Linked DNA regions of Daphnia pulex. The protein of the gene in region 1 interacts with the protein of each later gene in a pairwise test. Links are inferred from orthologs where the notes say so. Each region holds a gene or a part of one and is shown on either strand. Other genes may lie near its edges. The genes, in order: protocadherin-like wing polarity protein stan and frizzled-1-like.

Evidence for each region.
Region 2: the proteins of protocadherin-like wing polarity protein stan (region 1) and frizzled-1-like interact in binary tests that used the Drosophila melanogaster proteins (3 or more experiments, as listed by UniProt). The link is inferred for Daphnia pulex from reciprocal best matches to the Drosophila melanogaster genes stan and fz.

Annotation. Positions count from the first base shown.
Region 1 is NC_060028.1:10,555,944-10,559,763, reverse strand, and holds part of protocadherin-like wing polarity protein stan, read right to left. Parts: coding exon 3,601-3,820; intron 3,517-3,600; coding exon 3,085-3,516; intron 2,850-3,084; coding exon 2,756-2,849; intron 2,512-2,755; coding exon 2,422-2,511; intron 2,199-2,421; coding exon 2,002-2,198; intron 1,905-2,001; coding exon 1,695-1,904; intron 1,618-1,694; coding exon 1,431-1,617; intron 1,353-1,430; coding exon 403-1,352; intron 261-402; coding exon 40-260; intron 1-39. UniProt on the Drosophila melanogaster protein: Involved in the fz signaling pathway that controls wing tissue polarity. Also mediates homophilic cell adhesion. May play a role in initiating prehair morphogenesis. May play a critical role in tissue polarity and in formation of normal dendrite fields.
Region 2 is NC_060020.1:4,095,999-4,099,918, reverse strand, and holds the start of frizzled-1-like, read right to left. Parts: upstream 2,647-3,920; 5' UTR 2,238-2,646; coding exon 1,712-2,237; intron 1,643-1,711; coding exon 1,251-1,642; intron 1,176-1,250; coding exon 975-1,175; intron 909-974; coding exon 686-908; intron 603-685; coding exon 466-602; intron 398-465; coding exon 266-397; intron 180-265; coding exon 7-179; intron 1-6. Other genes in the region: lethal(3)malignant brain tumor-like protein 1, read right to left, coding at 3,229-3,384, 3,447-3,864. UniProt on the Drosophila melanogaster protein: Receptor for Wnt proteins.

The DNA.
Region 1 (3,820 bases):
GACTATAATTTTTGGTAGAAAAAAAAAAGATCAACTTACAAATAATAGTTGCCATACTGGTCGGCTCGGACGCCGACCGACAGGCCAAGGATGATTGCCGGAAGTCCATAGCCCACTGAATAGTAGAAGCTCATGTGGCCATGATTGACGTCACGCAGTTCGGTCAGCATTCGGTACAAGTGAATCGATTCGATCATCAGCCAGGAGAAGATGCATAACCACAGGTAATGCAGACCCATGGCCAGCAATTTACAGACAAACTGTTCAGTCGAGGATGGAAAGAAAAGAAAAATAAAAGGGGAAAATCGTTAGAGCGTTGCTTTGTAGTGGTGGGTTTTTGGCCAGGAAAAAAACAATTTTTGTTGTGTAAATTATGTTTCGGTCAGAGTGGCCATCACTCACCTCGTGATGTTGGACGGTCCCCCGCAGTTTCAAAGCCAACAAAAACAGCAACTGAGCCAAGAGGAGGCAAACGACGAAGTTGCGGTGAATAGAGTTGGAGTTGGTCTGCTGTTGGCCGCTGATCAAACTGAGACAGATGAACGCCACGGCCAAGAAAACCACGCTGGCCACCAGACCGATGTAAGTGACCACATCTTCGATCAGCGTCGGCTCTCTGGCCATTGTTATGAATTCCTCTTTGTTCATGACGACGGCCACCGGTCCCAAACTGGAACAGGTGCAATTGACGTGAAAGTCTTCCTGGTCGTAGAACCACGGGTCGTGGAAATCGGTTCGGCAACCCTCTCGACTCCAGGCGCCTTTGATGGCCACAGCGGGCCCCGGTATTAATCCGCCTCCCGATCCTGTCGGCTTCCAGTGAACGCACTGCGGATTGGCCCGCTGGTTGACGTAATCGACGCGGATGCGATACTTGATTGCCGGCCCGTCGGGCTGATCGGTGACGATGTTTCCGTCCACTGAAAGAGCGGCGAAGCCCATCGTGGTGGACGGAAGAGTCAGGTCCACTCCGTAGCGCTGCCTCAAATTGGGCTCGAACACTTGTGGCAAGATCTCGCCAGCTGTCCGATAAATCGCGTAGCTCACAACGGATCGTTGAGTTTCACTGCTGGCGCGGTCTGTGGTCTTCTTGGCCGACGGAAGCCGGAAGCCCAGCAAGTTGAGTGGCGTGAAGAACTTTGAGGTGCGATCGAAGAGCACCGGATTTTTGACGTAGTTGTTGTATTTCGGGAAAATGGCGTTGATCGAAGCGGGTCTCTCTTTGTTGACAATTCCGGCGGATGCTTCTTCAATGTAACGGCTAGTGTCCGGAATCACAATCTTCTCCAAACCGCCCGATTTCAGTTCTTGACCGATAATTTGTTCCGTGCTCAGAACGTCCATTCCGAAAACTGCCGGCAATTTTAAAAGTAGAAAATTTGAATAAATTACTTCCCTTATTTTATTTTTTGGGGTAATAATCTTCTTACCCATATTAGGAGTGACGACTTCAAAGGGCAAAGTATAGGTGCTGTTCTGTTGACGAGCCAAATTAGCCGCATAATTTTGGAAGGCCATTAGTAAAACTTCGGCTCCGTAGCCGTGAACTTTTTCGATTGTTCTCCAGTGTCCGACATACTGCATCTGGAACAGTACGCTAGTGGCACTGACCAAATTCTGTTGAAATTCCAAACCCCATCATGTTAAAAAATTTGTTTTTTAAACTTATCGATGCAACAATTTTGAATTATTACCCTGATGAAATCTTTGTCGTGTCGATGAGTCAGATTGAATCCCTCTCTGTGGGTATCGTGTTCCAAGATCTTGACCAGCAGCTGTTGTCCAATAAAGATATCGCTACCGTAAAGTTTGGAACTGTGATTCGTGGCTTTGAACAGCTGCTGGGCCAGCCTCACCGAAATGAACGGGTTGAGGTTCAAATTGCCCTGATCCAATCGTTTCAACTGTAGATGATGATGTAATCATGACGGATGATGATCTATTATTATCTAATGTACGGGATTGTTTTGCGCACTCGCGCAATTATTCAGACACACGTACCATTTCGCGGAGATCGACGAATGGGATGGTGGTGCAGTTGAACAGGTCGGCCGGCATCCATCCGACTTCCTTGTCGCAAGTTTTGTACGCCTGTCCCAGCGATCCGATTGGGCAGTCCCTGGAAGTGGTCAGTCCGTAGAGGGTGCGGTCGAACCAGATGCCCGAGTCGAAACTCCTTGGGCAAGCGTCGTAGATCACTAACGTCGTTAAAAAACAGAGAACAACAAAATGGCGGTATCTTAGCGCGGGGTTTTTATATAGACACACACACGGACGATGAGTTGAGAGGATAGGGTGTAGTTATTGTTGTTGTTATTGCTCCGGCCGTCATTTGTCGGTGCAAAACGCACAGCTGTTTGTGAGCTAAAGAAGAAGACGAAAGAAAAGGCTGCATACAGATGAGCCTGTTTTATTCTTTACCTTCGCATCCGTTGAGCGTGACTTCGGCGAAAAGGTTGGGGCAAGAGTCGCATCGTCGGCCAATGACTCCCGGTCGGCACTTGCATTGACCTACAGGGGGTAGTATAGAGAATGGACGGGAAGAAAAAAAGAAATGTAATAACCGGTTGGGAAAATATGATTGTGTTTGTCTGCTGTGCGGGCAATCATTTTTCCACATTCTCGTTTTCTTTTTTTCAACGGGTATATCTTTAATTTTTCCTTTTCATTCTTTTATTTTTTGGAAGAGTCGGATGCTGGACAGGTGGGTGGAGTTTAAAAAGAAAAAAGACTTCTCTTATTTGTTCCCTCTTACCGGTAAGGGCGTCACACTTGGAGCCAAACGAGCCCGTCAGGTAGCAATTACAGTCGAGACATTCCTCCTCGTTGACCGGCTGGTAGTGATTTTCCTATAATATTCGTATATTATACACCCCGTGAAAATGTCGACAGCATTAGAAATGCAACTCTCGTCTCGTTTCCTATTCTTAGATTTATATATTTATCCTTTTGTCTCGTGCGTTTGTGCTGCGCGTTCAACCGAATAACATGCGGGATGAGCGCCGCGTGTAATTGCACGGACAAAAGGGAAAAGAAAACTTTTCGACTTTTAAAATGGATGGATGCGGTCGTTTTCTTTCTTACCTGACACACGCACTGGCCGTTTGTTTTGTTGCAGTTGGGATCGTAGCCTTTGTCCGTGTCGCAGCGACACGGACCGCAAACCGGATAACCCCACCAGGTTGCCGGGCACGGCTGGTCCAGGGTCACTTCGCAGTAATCGCCCGACGTGTCGCCCTGGCAACCGCACTTGTAGCCGCGGCGATTCGACGTGTCGATCTGGCAGGTGGCGTTGTTCTCGCACGGATTGTACTCGCAAATGTTGGCGCAATCCGGGCCGACGAATCCGGAATCGCAGGAGCACTTGTGCGAATTCCAGGTGTCGGCGCAGGTGCCCCTCTGAGGGCAGACGTCGCTCTTGGCCGTGCAAGAATCGGACGAGCTGCAGCCGTCGCTGACTCGATATTCCACCGACGATTTCAGCCACAAATTGCGTTGCTGATCGATTCTCACATCCTGGACAGAAATCATTTATACATTCAGTTGTTGAGAGAGACATTATGGGAGGGTTCTTTTTTTTATTTTTTACGAGTTATCTACCTTGATGCAGCCGATGAATCCGGTGGAGTTGGTCGTTTCCAATCGGCCCAGAACGACTTTGGTCGGCATCAAACCGGTCAATTTGGAATCGACGGGCACGGTTTTCTCGTAGAGGCCGTAGTCGGTGTTGAGCCAGAGTTCACCTTGCATCCACTTGAGCTCGGCCCAGTGCCATTTGCCATCGTTGAGCGGCTCCGTGTCGGCCAATGTGAACTGGCCC
Region 2 (3,920 bases), on another chromosome or scaffold:
ACATACTTGATCATAAAAACGGCGAATTCCGGTTTCGGGTAGGTAGGAGCCGTAGGGTAACCGCCGGCGCCTTTGGCATAAGCTAGACTCTGTGACGGGCAGGCAAAAACAAATTTGATCCACTGTGGGTCACGGCATTTGTCCTCTTGCCATCTCAACATCCAGGAATCGAAGAAAGCCTTTATATAGATAAAAATACATGTTAGAATATTTATAGGTGGTTGACGTGAGAAGAATTTCGCCGAAAGGGAAACTCACGACTGACCTGTTCGTGAAGAAGGCATGCGATAACAATGATGGCCGGTACTGTGTATAAAAAGGAATAGATTCCAATGCGCAGCATGAACTTTTCTAGCTTATCCGTTTTGGTTCCTCCGCTCTTCATCAACGTTCTCACCTATAAAAAATTCACATAAAGAAAATAACAACTTTGTTATGGAAAAGAATTCAACAAGACACACGTACCCGAAATAGAGAGATGAATCCGCCCAATAAGAAAATGGTGCCGACGATGAGGAAAAGGAATAGAGGCGCCAGTACGAAGAGTCTTAAGGCAGACATATCCCAAATGCCAACCGAACACACACCGCTCAACACGTCGCCTAAGGGTACGATACCAGTAGAACAGCAAAACGGATTTAGAAAGAAAAATACAAACGAGTCTATTTGTAAGCAACACACACACCTTCGACTTTGCCCATGGCTAAAATGGCGATGGTCAGAGCAGCAGGGAGGGCCCACGTCACCAGATGGAAATAATGAGACTTGGCTTCGATAGGTTCGTGACCCCACTTGAGACCGGCTGCGAGGAACCAAGTAAGCGTCAAGACGACCCACCAGAGATTGGCAGCCATTTCAAAATAGTAGAGCAACATGAAGAGGATTGTGCAAGATTCGCGTTTCGTTCCCTATGGAAAAGTTGAGATGATGAAAACTGAATGTGTGGCTATTTTTAAGATTTTTATATACTGCACCTGGGTGATGGTTTCAACCATGTCGGCTTTATCGACTGAAAAATCTTGTGGCGGATCAAATGGCGCATTACACGATACAGAATCCCCCATGGCGTATCCTATGACGTAGGCCAGTGCCACCATAAAATAGCACACTGAAAGGAAGACGACGGGCCGCTCAGGGTAGCGGAATCGGCGTACGTCCAACAAGAAAGTCAGAACCTGAATTTTTCAAAAAAAAAGAGCATTAATTACCACCTGCATGTAAAACATTGATAAAATAGCTGGAATAATTACAGTGAAGAGACAAGATGCCATGCAGATGGCACCCCAGACCACGATCCAAACACGTGAAAAACGAACTTCGCTTTCGTTGAAGAACATGCCCTTACAGGGGGCACCGCAATCCGGATAGACTTTCCCTCCGACCCGAACGACATAGTCAAGACCTTTTGGCACCCGGAACTGAGCAGGGCAAATAAATCCATGATCGCGAGAGTAGTTGCTATTGACTGAGGTGAATCCTGATCGGATGCCACTTGGTCCCCCGTACCAATTGGAGCCTGCGCCATAGCCTGGAGGACTACCACCAACAACAGATCCGCCTGGTCCTCCAGGATAGACACCAGGGTAATTGCCTAATTCATTTAGAGGATTTCTGGGATAGTTGGGTACTCCACCTAGTCCACCTATACCACAAAAAGTTGTTTGTTCCAATAATTTTTTTAATTGAAAATTTAGAAATAAAAGTAGCTTACCTGAAACTTTGTAAGGAGGCCTGTAGCCATCATTTCCACCGTGGCTAGTCCCTGAGCTTGTATTGTTTTCTCCAACACATAGTTCTCCAGCTGCACCACCTTCAGGATATCTGCTGCATTCTAAGCTTTCCGGCCACTGAAAACCAAACTTGTTCATGAGTCCCTCACAGCCACTGCGAGCTGACAAGCAGAGGGAACGACAAGGAGGGATGGGCTTGTCCAGAACCGTGCACACAGGAGCGTAGACAGAGCAAAGGAAGATCTGCAAGTCTGGGCTGCATTTGACCTTCACCAGTGGATAAAACTGGTGGACTTCCAGTCCAGCATCTTCTTGTTTTTGGTGGTTAAGCAGGTTTGGGAAGATAGTCTCATTATAAAGAATATCTTTACACAAGGGAATTGTGATGGCTTCACACCTGCCATGGTGAGGCAAACTGTCTCGATCAGAAATGGTGGAGCTAACAGTTACAACAGTTAGCAACAAAGCCAGGATGGAGGCGAAAATAACACTTTTGTAAAGAGACATTTTCTGATTGAGATTTTCGGACGGAACAATCGGTATCTTGATTTAGTCAAATGCTGGTTTAGCCTGCCCAGCAGTATAGGTTCCTTGTAGGGAGAGACGACTTTTCAACCCCTCGAGCAACAGACGCACTTTTTTTATTCGAAGGGGCCAACCAAGATGACTGACCTCTTCTTAAGAGCTCTTCTCAACAATAAATACCACTACACTTTCTTCATTTTGCCATTGAAACAACCAATACTGTGTATACTTTCTGCTAAAATGCAGAGTTTGCTCGTTTTTCTCAATCTATTTCCCTGTAAAACATCAAACATGCCACTAAACGCAAACCAACGTCAAATGTCTCAGCACTCCACCTTGAACACTGAAAAGCCACACCAAAGCACCAGCCACAAAAAGAGCTAGCTTCTTAAAGAAGTTGCTCTTTTCTCCGCCAGAGCACCACCCCCTTTTTTTCCCTACTGCTGGTGTCGTGTTTGGTTCTTTTGTCCTGTCCTCTTCTGTTAAAGTCATCAGGTTTGTTATCGCCAGAGGCTATATCGAGGGGTCATCAATGTCTTTTTTTTACTCCCTTTTTTGAACAGTTGGTGACAATTTTTTCCGTTTCGTTTAACTTTTCGTTCAGTCTTAATGATGCAAACTATTTTAAAAAATATGCAATCACTACCATCTGGTTGACGTCTGTCTGAAAACAAAATCAATGAGACGCGCTTTTGGATCAAGTATGTGGGGGGAAAAAACGAGTGGCTTCTTGCAAAAACAAAGACACATATCAGTGTTTTTATTGGACTTGACACGAAAAATGTAAAAAAAAGGAGAGAGATAGAAAGAACTGGAAAACTGAATTTTAATACACAAAAAAAGTAAATTGTGTGCAGTCGGGATTGAGAATCATTCGAGCTAGAGGTTATCTCGATTCGTTCATGGTACATCGCATAGAACAAACAAACAGGATGAGACAACCATATAATTAAATTTAAATTTTATTATTAGTCTAAGAATGCGACTCGTTGGCGGGCATTGCAGATTTGGCCTTTTCTTTCATCAAAAGAAGAGCGTTGCGAATCTTAATGGCCGGTCCCAACTTGACACCAAGCAAATCGGTAAGATCGCTTTGAGACAAAAACAGGAGCGCCTCTCCATCAATTTCCTGTAATCAAAACAATTAAAATAAATACCGTATAAACCAAAAAATTTAGCAGTTGAACAGACCTCTTGTTTGAATTTCTCCAACATGACTTTATTGACACCGAATTTGGCCAAGAAATCCATAACTTGATCGCAAGACCAGCGAGTCACTTGATTAGATGTATCGATCCCAACAACATCGCCGAGGAGTGCGGCATGTTTGGACCAACACATTGGCGTTGTCAGATTGGAATTGGCAGGGAAGTTCATCATTGAATAGCCTGAATGCACCGATTTTTTCGTTGGCACGGAACCGCTCATTGAGGCGTCAAGTTGGTCATTAGGACCTCCCAAAGAGTTACGGCTCGACTCTTCCTGTTGTTTGCGTTCGGCAACTGGAAGGCTTTGATCGTTTGTCACATCACCATTGCCTTCTATTGGAGCAGATTTCCGCCGAACAATCTCACTAGCTGCTGTTTTACCCGTAAAAAAGGAAATTCTCCTAAAAGGAAAAAGGCAAATAAATGAATTGTGTCACTATTTGAATTTCTTTTCAAC